Linked DNA regions of Macaca fascicularis. The protein of the gene in region 1 interacts with the protein of each later gene in a biochemical or structural test. Links are inferred from orthologs where the notes say so. Each region holds a gene or a part of one and is shown in the gene's direction. Other genes may lie near its edges.

The links. The genes of interacting proteins can lie anywhere in the genome.
Region 2: the proteins of PARD3 (region 1) and JAM3 form a complex in vitro, tested with the Homo sapiens proteins (2 studies listed by BioGRID and IntAct, with this or other methods). The link is inferred for Macaca fascicularis from reciprocal best matches to the Homo sapiens genes PARD3 and JAM3.

Annotation. Positions count from the first base shown.
Region 1 is NC_088383.1:35,574,827-35,580,866, reverse strand, and holds the start of PARD3 (partitioning defective 3 homolog), read left to right. Parts: upstream 1-2,640; 5' UTR 2,641-2,737; coding exon 2,738-2,857; intron 2,858-3,641; exon of another isoform or gene 3,642-3,777; intron 3,778-6,040. UniProt on the Homo sapiens protein: Adapter protein involved in asymmetrical cell division and cell polarization processes. Seems to play a central role in the formation of epithelial tight junctions. Targets the phosphatase PTEN to cell junctions.
Region 2 is NC_088388.1:132,544,493-132,549,942, forward strand, and holds the end of JAM3 (junctional adhesion molecule C), read left to right. Parts: intron 1-1,137; coding exon 1,138-1,267; intron 1,268-1,354; coding exon 1,355-1,409; intron 1,410-2,026; coding exon 2,027-2,062; 3' UTR 2,063-4,596; downstream 4,597-5,450. UniProt on the Homo sapiens protein: Junctional adhesion protein that mediates heterotypic cell-cell interactions with its cognate receptor JAM2 to regulate different cellular processes. Plays a role in homing and mobilization of hematopoietic stem and progenitor cells within the bone marrow.

The DNA of each region.
Region 1 (6,040 bases):
AAAAAAAAGAAAAAAAGAAAAAAAGAAAGACTGACTCATAATCTATGAGATCTATGAGATGGATATGGATATAATAAGCTCTACTTCTCCACTTTTCAGCTAATAAGACAGGCTGGAGGAAGAGTGAGAGTTGTGTCTAAGGCACTGGTAAATGGCCGAATATGGATCTGAACCTAGATCTGTATGATGTCCTAGGTACTCTGGTTATTACTGAAAAATGACTTTCGATTAGAATTATTTTGAGAAAGCCCCACTCTAATTTATTACACTCAAGCTAGTATACCCCTCTGAACTAGTATAGCATGTAAACTAGTATACATTCTCTGCCACGCAGTGGCTTGCGCTGTAATCCCAGCACTTTGGGAGGCTGAGGTGGGCAGATCTACCAGCCTGGCCAGCACGGTGAGACCCTGTCTCTACTGAAAATACAAAAATTAGCTGCACGTGGTGGAGGGCACCTATAATCCCAGTTACTTGGGAGGCGGAGACAGGAGAACCGTTTGAACCCAGAAGGCGGAGGTTGCAGTGAGCCAAGATCACTGCCACAATCTTAGCTCACTGCTGCCTCAGACTCCCAGCCTGGGCAACAGAGCGAGACTTGGTCTCAAAATAAATAAATAAAATAAAAATACATAAATAAATTAAAACAAAACAAAATAAAATAAACTAGTACACATTCTAAACTAGTAGTACACTCCTCCAATGCATAAAAACAGAAACAACACCTATAATTATCAGTAATTGTTGTTGTGGATCCAAGTATCTATGTAAGAAGCAAAAAGCCCACAGCAACAGTTGTTGTCATCGTTGTCATAAACTTAATTAGTGGGTAGAAATGTCTAGTGCTGCAGCCAAACAGCAGTAGGAGGAGCCTTTCCCATGACTGAGTGGAAGGAGGGAAACCTAGACTATTTCTGGGTCTGCCTTGCTTGAGCTTTCTCTGTCGCCTTGGGCAAGTGACTTTGGCCCTTGGTCAATGTCCTGGAGTAAGATGGGGCTAGCACCACTGCACTGATTTGCTGGGACAGGTGGTGGAAAGTGGTGGTCCAGGGCTGGGAGAGGAGAGGAAGGGCAATGTTTCCTAGGAGAAACTGCACTATGCTGGGGCAGCTGTGGTGCTGCAAAGCGCAGGGAGTGTGGCAAGCGGACGAACCTCATGTCTTGTTTCCTTGTTTTAAGATTGGAGGTGGAGTGGGATGGATGGTCAATCGCCAGCTCTTCCACCTCTAAGTGCTCAAGTTCTGCGCCAACCCAGGGCAGCTTGATTGCTTTCACGTCCCTCGGAAATAACTGGCAAAAAAGAATTTCACATAGTCTGGAACGGGCTTGGGACAGGGACCACTCTTTGCTGACATTTGTCATTCTTTAAACATAATGACATACGTTTATTAAGGAATCATAGTCCATAACTAAGACAAAATGAGCTTCAGTTACGTTCCCTAACTCGGATCACGTTCCTTCAGAACTTCTCAAGCCCGCATGTCACTCATTGCGGAGTCGGAGCCTTCCTCGGGGTTCAGGCGTCTGCGTTAAGCGCGGGCACACCGTGGGGATTCCCGCGTGAGCTTTCTCCGCGGCGTCAGAATAGGCTGTTCACGGATTCGCGTTAGGATTGCTTATGCTGCAGAACTTGAAAGAAATAAATGTATCAGAATTGCGATGTTTACGGTCTAATCTATTTAAGTGGGTGGGTCAGCGGAGGGTCAACAGGAAACTTCAAGGTAAACAGTGACCTCTGAAAAACGCCCGGTCGCTCACAGCTTCCCCACTGCCTCCCCAGAGCAGACTATTAATTCTTGCGTTTCAGGCAGAACTGCCGCTGCCCGACCCTGCAGCCGAGCTAGGGAGCGGGCAGGGCAGAAACCCAGCGGAGCAAGCCGCAGGCTCGAGTCCCCGAGGGCAGAGAGGCTCGGGCTGGAGCCTCCGGGGCGATGAGGAGGGGACTCGCCGCGCTGAGCAAAAACTGCCTTCCCCGGGAGCGCCTGCACCCGAAACCCTCCAGTCCAAGGAAGGGGATTAAAAGTGACAAAGGAAAGGGAAGGGGGGGGGGCTCCGTGGAGACCTCTGGAGGCGTGGAAGGGGCGTCCCCGAGGAGGGGCGAGCGCAGCCCTGCAGGGAGCTGGGCGGGCGGGGTGAAGGGGGCTGGGGGGCGCCCGGGCCACGGTTGGTGGGGGCAGATGGCCGCCTGCCCGGGTTGGCGGTGGGACCAGGGGTCCCAAGCCTCCGGAGGGAGGGAGGGAGGGACGGAAGGAGGCCGGCCCCGGAGGGCGGTGGCGGGGGCGCGGGCTGCGGTCGTGCGCTCCGCCCCGCGCGGGTAGCCGGCCGCGCCTCCCCCTGCCGCATGTGCGCGGTGTTGTGTGCCCGGCCCTGCTCCTCCCCCTCCCCTCCCCTCGCGCCGTCCCCTCCCCCAGCGGCCCCGAGCGAGCGCCAGCGCCACACAGCCCCGGGCCGCCGCCGGCGAGCGCGCCGAGACGCCGAACAGGTGGCCGGAGGCTGCGGGCGCCGCGGCGGGGAGAGGCGAGGCGAGCCCCGGGCGAGGCGAGGGTGGCCGGGCCGGACCGGGCATGCGAGCTGAGCGGCCCCCCGGCGTCGCCGCCGCCTGCCCTCGCCCCTAGCCGCCCGCGCGTCCAAGTCCCCCGCGGCTCCTCCGCGCCCAGCGTCCCTGGTCCCGGCCCCGGCCCCGGCTGCTCCGGCTGCGCTCGGCGAGGGGCGCGGGCCCGCCCGCGGCGGCGGCGGCATGAAAGTGACCGTGTGCTTCGGACGGACCCGGGTGGTCGTGCCGTGCGGGGACGGCCACATGAAAGTTTTCAGCCTCATCCAGCAGGCGGTGACCCGCTACCGGAAGGCCATCGCCAAGGTGAGGGGCCGGGGGCGCGGGCGGGGAGGGGGCGGCGGCGGGGACGGCGCCGGGATCAATATGGCGCTTCCTGGAAGGGGGAGGAGAGGCGCAGGGAGGCGGGGAAAGGGAAAGTGCGGCCGGGCCGGCCTCGCGGGCGCCCCCCGCCCCGGGCTGCGGGCGCCAAAGTTGTCAGCGCTGGCCGGGTCGCAGCCTCGGGGGCACCCAGCCGGGTCCCGCGGCCCCCGCCCTCCCCTTCCCCATCCCCCTTTCCCCGGGAGCTCCGGCCTCAGGAGCGCGGGGCGAGCCGGGCAGCGGCGCACAGGCCGGCCCTGGGCGCTTCCCCGTAGTCTGTAGAGCTAGCCAAGCCCCGAGCCGGCGCGCAGGGGCGCGGGCCGGGAAATCCAGCCCCAGGCCTCTCCCGGCTCCCAGGCCCCGCGGGCACAGGCCGGGGACTGGGAACTTTTGGTGTGAGGAGAGTTTCGTGACTGCCCTCCCGACGGAGGCGGGCTGCGAGCCTTCTGTCTCCTCTCCCTTCCTCGGGCGGGGGCGGGACCGCGGCGGGGGGTCTTTTCCTCCTTGTCCCCCGCGAGCAGGGGCGGGCAGGGGCGCGCGTCCGGGGGCTGCAGGGTTTGGGGAGTAGCCGGCTTGGGATCGGGGAGGCGTTCCCGGGAGGGCCACCGGTGGCACTCAGCACTCGCTTGCGAGCATTTACTGAGCTGATCCCCCTTACTGGGCTCTGGAAAGCACAACCTTGAAACGGTCGCGGAAAGAAAAGTTTTCCTGCGAGGACCTCAGCTCCTACCTATCCTGGGCTGCTTCCATGTGGCTGGGCTGCGGAGCCGGGCCTGACTTCAGAGTTGAGTGGATTTCCCTTTTTCTTGCTGTAGTGATAACATTGTCTCCACTTCACAGCATTCCTCTACTATGTGTCAGAAGTGAAAAGGCATTTTGCTAAATTGTTTTACCGACTGTGTCTGTGTTTGACAACAGCCCACGCTGAAGTTTCTCCCAAGCACCCGGGGATATTTCCTTTGTAGTAGAGTCCTCTTTGGTGGGGAGTGCATTCACTTCGGTGCAGTATTTCCCATTTGTTCCCGACAGTGGCCTGGCCCCTATGGGCTTGGGGGCTGCAGATGACGTTGGAAAGTGGCTTGGTCAGCCCTATTTAGCGTACACAGGGTACTCCGGTGGCATCTTCAGTTCTCTCAGAAATTAAAAATAAAAAGCTTTTTAGACTGCTGTTTTGCTTTTAGTATACACTGGAAAAAGTAGCATAAATTTGGGCTTTTAAAGATAATTTTGGGGGACGTTTAGGAACCCGGCACAAGGATGGAAGACATTGGCTTTAATAGCTCTGTTATGTTCCTTACAGTTGGTTGAACTCTTTTATTGAAAATCAAATAAAATTAGTGGGAATTGGACACCTGTTTATCTTGCAAAGCTGACAAAGGGAAAGAAAACCATCTCAATGGGCATTTAGCTTTTTTAAGTGTTGTTTATGTGTGACAGTTTATGCTTTAAGTGTTCCGAAAGAGTACTCAAATTGTTCAGGCACTCTGGAAACCAACAAAATACTTTGTGCAAGGAAAGAGAAATAAAGTAATATGCACTCTGCAGTATGTCTAGGCTCCTGAATAGGGAGAGGGTGATCGACATTTTCTTTCACTTTATTAATTTTATGTGATTAAAATTGTTTTACCTACTGTGTCCCATGTTTCATCGTGCACAAAATAGACATAGGCTGAACTGCCTATTTGACAGTAGTTCAAATGTTGTTTGAGGCATTCGTTCCACAGAAATTTTGAAGCTTTGACTGTGTTCACAGCACTGTTCTGGGTGCTGGACATCTAGGGGACCCACTGGCTGTGAGAGGCTGAGCAAGAGGCTGCGCAGTCCTCCAGGTGAAGGGGCTGGTGGTGACATGGGGAGAAGAGGGGCCTCTGGGATGCTGGGTGGCTAAAGCGCAGGGCCTTGGTCACAGACCTGGTCCTTGTTATTAACAATTAGCAGTGGTTGTTTCACAGGGCATAGAAAAGGGAGTGCAGTTTTCTTACGGGTGTCTGGGGAGGTGTCACAAAGAGAAAAGGGGGCCTGTGAGCTGAAGGAAGGGAGGGTGATAGTGACATGGGAGTTGGAGATGAGAGGGCGGGTCAGAGATGGGTCAGGGGTTCCAACACTGACATGCTCTTTAAGTACAACTTAGAGTTCAGTGGGTGAATTTTAACGGGGGCTTTGCAGTATACCAAGTTCAATCATTGGATCCCAAGACTGTTGACCCTCATGTTGCCAGAGCTTGAGTGTCTTCTAGGTCTCCTTTTTCTCGTTTTTATTCTGAAATTGCTAGACAATGATTGAGATTAATTTTCAGTCTTTCTTACTACTTTTCCCATTCTATATTAAGTGATGAGGAAGTGATATTATGTATTTAACACTGTTTTAACTTTTATTCTCTGTTCCTTACCGGTATTGCCTAATAGAACAAGAGAAATTCTGTATGAAGAATTGGGTGGCTGGATAGTTGTGGAGTGGTGTTTAGGTTGCTAGGTGACATGTGGTGTGATGAACTCCCATCTGGTGGGGAAAAATGTGGGCAGATCATGTTTATGGCTTTGTATAATAACCAACCAAGCCAAAAATAAAAAATAAAAAGGAAAAGAGAAAGATCCCAACTCTCAAATCACCAAGGCTTTCTCTGCAGTAAACATTTTCTGGTGTGGTGGGGCTAATTTTCTGGCATTGCATCTGGGCTGTTTTCTCTTCAGGTTACACAAATCAATTTTTCTGGATAGTGAAATGTCATGATTTAATACTAGACATGTCCTCAGTGAGTAGATATTTGAAGGCTTGCGCTTAGTCATGTGTGACATTTCTTTTTTCCTTTCATGAAAGATGTTTTTGTGGTTGTGATCACTGATGAGTGGGAATAGCTCTTCATCCTCATCCACCCATCTGCATTAGGAGCCTTGCTGAGGACAGTGCGGTGCTAGACATTGGGAACCACGTTACGTGGACCATTCTCATGGGGGTGTAGGATGGGAGGATGGACTGTGTCTGCATCTGTTCTTCTGTGCTTGCGACCTGATACCCGTGATTATGGTGCTGAGCTGCAGCGCTAAGTGTGGGGTTGGTTGAAGGGCTGCTGTGTATAAAAAGTCATGCTGTATGAAAAAAATATGATTGAATTCGTGCACTTTTCAAAAA
Region 2 (5,450 bases), on another chromosome or scaffold:
GCCTGGTGTGGTGGCGGGCGCCTGTAATCCCAGTAACTTGGGAGGCTGAGGCAGGAGAATCCCTTGAATCCAGGAGGCAGAGGTTGCAGTGAGCTGAGATTGCACCACTGCACACCAGCCTGGGTGACGGAGTGAGACTCTGTCTCAAAAAAAAAAAAAAAAAATCACAATCTTGGCTCACTGCAAGCTCTGCCTCCCGGGTTCACACCATTTTCCTGCCTCAGCCTCCCGAGTAGCTGGGACTACAGGCGCCCGCCACCACGCCCGGCTAATTCTTTGTATTTTTAGTAGAGACAGGGTTTCACCGTGTTAGCCAGGATGGTCTCAATCTCCTGACCTCGTGATCCGCCCGCCTCGGCCTCCCAAAGTGCTGGGATTTACAGGCGTGAGCCACTGCGCCCAGCCTGCAAATTGATTTTTAAGTGTACATTCATATTTGAGAACCAATACACTAGGATAAAGGAGATTTTTTAAAACTCCAAGTTACTTGGCTCTTGTTGATAAATTCCCTGCAGTTTTCCATGTGTTGCTTGCTTGAAGGAAACGACTGCCAGAGCCCCATGTGAAGGTGACCCAGTGCTTTTGCTGAGTGTACAGACATGAGAAAGGGTTCCAGGGGTCTCCTCTCAGAGGGCGTATAGATCAGAGGTCAGGCAGCCAGCAGAGGCAGAGCTCTAGTTCTTACCTAGGATTCTTTACTTTTAAGTAAGACTTGAAACTAACTTTCTTCCCCACAGCAGTCCACAACAGAGAGGCCCTGGAAATTAGGGATTCTTTTCTTCCTTGGGATCCTGGCTCCTAATCTTGTCCTCATAACCATCTCCCCCATAAGTAATCTCGGGCATTCAGCCAGAGGATTTTTAAGCCTACAGTGCCAAGCCCACTTGAATACAGTTTTCAGTGTAACTGCATTTCAGCTGTAGAAGTCTCAGTACTTTTCACATGTGAAGTTAGGAGTTATGGTGTCCTATATGTTCTAGGCTAGAAAGATTAAGTTCTCTCTTCTAGCTGGGGTAGGCCTGAGGGGGCAGGGGGCAAGTGGGTTTGGGGTGAAGGAAGGAGGCACAGCAGGGTCAGGGCCTTTTTAAAGAACAGATAGTGTGTATCATGGCTTTCCCCAAACCTCCCTTTCTTCAGATGACCTGAACATTGGCGGAATTATTGGGGGGGTTCTGGTTGTCCTTGCTGTACTGGCCCTGATCACGTTGGGCATCTGCTGTGCATACAGACGTGGCTACTTCATCAACAATAAACAGGATGGAGAAAGGTGAGCCTGCCTTATGTGAAAAAAGGGAAGTTCAAGCTGGCGATCATATAACAACCCTGTTGCTAAACTGCTCTCTTCTCCTCACAGTTACAAGAACCCAGGGAAACCAGATGGAGTCAACTACATCCGCACTGACGAGGAGGTAATCATTTAGTAAACCTGGAAATCTAGGTGTACCCAGCAGGGAAAACAGCATTCCTCCTTGGAAACCACACAGGTCTCCTAGGAAGATTGCTGAGTGATTGTGCAGCTCCTGAGCTCCTCGGCCCCTTCACAGTCACACACACACATACTAATGGGATTTGTGCTTTGCAGGCGCTAGTGATGGTACTTTTTAAGAATGATTATTTGGGCCGGGCGTGGTGGCTCAAGCCTGTAATCCCAGCACTTTTGGGAGGCCGAGATGGGTGGATCACGAGGTCAGGAGGTCGAGACCAGCCTGGCTAACACGGTGAAACCCCATCTCTACTAAAAAAATACAAAAAAAACTAGCCGGGCGAGATGGCGGGCGCCTGTAGTCCCAGCTACTCGGGAGGCTGAGGCAGGAGAATGGTGTAAACCCGGGAGGCGGAGCTTGCAGTGAGCTGAGATCCGGCCACTGCACTCCAGCCTGGGCGACAGAGCGAGACTCCGTCTCAAAAAAAAAAAAAAAAAGAATGATTATTTGATTTGTATTTAGCCCATGTTAGACTTACTCAGTGTTTTTCCCTTCTTGCCACCAGGCCCCTTGATGGCTTTAACTGTGTGTTGGCTTTGCAGGGCGACTTCAGACACAAGTCATCGTTTGTGATCTGAGACCCGCAGTGTGGCTGAGAGCGCACAGAGCGCACATGCACATACCTCTACTAGAAACTCCTGTCGAGGCAGCGAGAGCTGATGCACTTGGACAGAGCTAGACACTCATTCAGAAGCTTTTTGTTTTGGCCAAAGTTGACCACTACTCTTCTTACTCTAACAAGCCACATGAATAAAAGAATTTTCCTCAAGATGGACCCAGTAAATATGACCACAAGGAAGAGAAACTGGGTGCGTTCACCGAGTTGGGTTCCCAATCTGTTTCTGGCCTGATTCCCACACGAGTATTAGGGTGATCTTAAAGAGCTTGCTCACGTCAGTGCCCCTGTGCTGGGCCCTGTGAAGCCAGCGTGTTTACCACTGGTCGTTCAGCAGCCAGGACAGCACCCTGTGAGCCGGCGAGGGGCCGTGCAGCACCAGCAGCACATCCCAGCAGGCACCCAGAACAGGCTTTGTATGCAGCAGCCTCTTCATCGGCCGCAGACACCACTGCAGCCTCTTCTCAAAGGCTCTGCTGATCGGTGTCGCAGTGTCCACTGTGGAGAAGCCTGTCGGATCAGCATTTTGTAGAAACCACCGAAGTCAGGGAGGCAGATTGGTTGCTGGAAGAGGGATCTTGCCTGAGGAACCCTGCTTGTCCAACAGGGCGTCAGGATTTAAGGAAAACCTTCGTCTTAGGCTGAGTCTGAAATGGTACTGAAATATGCTTTTCTATGGGTCTTATTTTATAAAATTTTGCATCTAAATTTTTGCTAAGGATGTATTTTGATTATTGAAATTTCTATTTAAACTGTAAATATATTGTCATACAATGTTAAATAACCTATTTTTTTAAAAAAAGTTCAGCTTAAGGTAGAAGTTCCAAGCTACTAGTGTTAAATTGGAAAATATCAATAATTGAGTATTTTACCCAAGGAATCCTCTCATGGAAGCTTACTGCGACGTTCCTTTTCTTGCACAAGTTTTAGCCTTTTTCACAAGGGAACTTTTGCGGTCTACACATCAGACCGTAGTTGCTTAGGAAACCTTTAAAAATTCCAGCTGAGCAATGTTAAAATCAGTTTGCATCTCTTCAAAAGAAACCTCTCAGGTTAGCTTTGAACTGCCTCTTCCTGAGATGACTAGGACAGTCTGTACCCAGAGGCCACCCAGAAGTCCTCAGATGTACAGACAGACGCCAGTCAGCTCCTGGGGTTGCCCCAGGCGCCCCCGCTCTAGCACAGTGTTGCCTCGCTATCTGCCAGGAGGCCCCGCCATCATTGGGCCCTGGCAGTGGCTGTGCCCCAGTGAGCTTGACTCACATGGCCCTTGCTTCATCCAGCACAGCTCTAAGGTGGGCACTCCAGGGACACTGGTGTCTTCCACGTTGTGTCCCAACTTTGGGCTCCCGTAACAGACCTTTTTGGTTATGGATGGCTCACAAAACAGAGTCCCCACTGCTATTTTTTTTTAAGTTTGTTTAATTATTTGTTAAGACTGTCTAAGGCCAAAGGCAATTGTGAAATCAAGTCTGTCAAGTACAATAATATTTTTAAAAGAACGTGGATCCCACTGTTCCTCTTTGCCACAGAGAAAGCACCCAGACGCCACAGGTTCTGTCTCATTTCAAAACAAACCATTATGGAGTGGCAGCCAGTCCAGCCTTTTGAAGAATGTCAGGTGGAGCAGCCAGGTGAAAGGCCTGGCGGGGAGGAAAGTGAAATGCCTGAATCAAAAGCAGTTTTCTAATTTTTGACTTTAAATTTTTCATCTGCCGGAGACACTGCTCCCATTTGTGGGGGGACATTAGAAACATCGCTCAGAAGCCCGTGTTCTCAGCCTCACACGCCCTGCCGTGCTGGATTCAGGACTGAAGTGCTCTGAAGCAAGGAGCTGCTCAGGAGGAGCACTCCACTGTGTGCCTGAAGAGTGGCTCTCACTAGTCACCTTGTCTTTCAGCTTCCAGTGTCTTGAGTTTTTTATACTTTGACAGCTTTTGTTTAATTGCATACATGAGACTGTGTTGACTTTTTTCAGTTATGTGAAACACTTAGCTGCAGGCCGCCTGGCAGAGGCAGGAAATGCTCCAAGAGTGGCTCAGTGCTCCTTGGTGTCTTCTGCATGGCATCCTGGATACTGAGCATGCGAGTTCCCTCCATCATTGCCACCGTGGTAGAGGGATGGCTCCCCACCCTCAGCGTTGGGGAGTGGCGCTCCAGCCTCTTTCTTGGTTGTCATAGTGATAGGGTAGCCTTACTGCCTCCTCTTCTTACACCCTAAAACCTTCCACACTAGTGCCATGGGAACCAGGTCGGACAAAGTAGAGAGAAGTGAAAGTGGAGTCTGGGAAGTAGTTGCCTATAACAGACTAGACAGAAAAGGAACACTTGTGTATTTTAAGATACGAATGTGACTCAAGACTCGAGGCCGATACGAGGCTGTGATTCTGCCTTTGGATGGACGTTGCTGTACATAGATACTACAGACTTGTACTAACACACCTGTAATTTGGTATTTGTTTAACCTCATTTATAAAAGCTTCAAAAAAACCCAAACATTGCTTCATTCTTTCTTGTTTGCTCTTGTGTTTGTCTCTTCTTCCTGGCATTTCAGTGGTTAGGCGCGCGCACTAAAAATGCTGTCACTCATCCACCAGGGGGGTCGGTGCCTGGGCAGAATGTCGGCCTGTGTGCTCCAGAGCAGCGCTGCGCCTCTCCACCACCGAGTCCACCTGCGTTGCAGTTCCCACTTAGGATAGCAGGGGCAGAGCTCAGTGGCATCCCATCCATCCCCCAAACCAACCAACACACATAATCACTTTGTACTTTTGCTTTTGTAATACTGGGATTAAAAAACAAGCCAACTGCATTTCTTTTTGGATATTCTTGAACAAAAATATCGTTAAGTTTACCCAACAGAGTGAACAGAAGAGACTCAAGCCGTTCCCCCATCACGGGAGCAGCCCTTAGCAGAGGGCTGCACAAATCGGCATCAGTGCTGCTCTGGGGAAGGCCGCAAAGCTATTTTTTCACAAGCAGCGATGCTGTTTATGTCTGTTATAGAAAGCACATGGCCTCTGCATGGGCACAGATCAACTGCCCCTCAAGACAATCATTTTTTTTCTAATAGGAAAGATTTGGTTTCATTCCTCTAACATGCTTTACGTAAAATTAAAATGATTACCAGTAAGAGCTCTGTTCTAAAAACAGAAACATTCTATTTACTGGAAGGCTGTATTTATCCTAAACATTTATTACTTTTAGAAAGCTGTATATTTTAAAAATTTGCAATTATAAATAATAGAAAAAATATTACAATCAATATTTTGTCATTACAGATGGGAAAATATGTACTATAAGGAATTCAAACAAGTTAACACAGGCTTGATTTATATAAAAGAAAGCTGAAG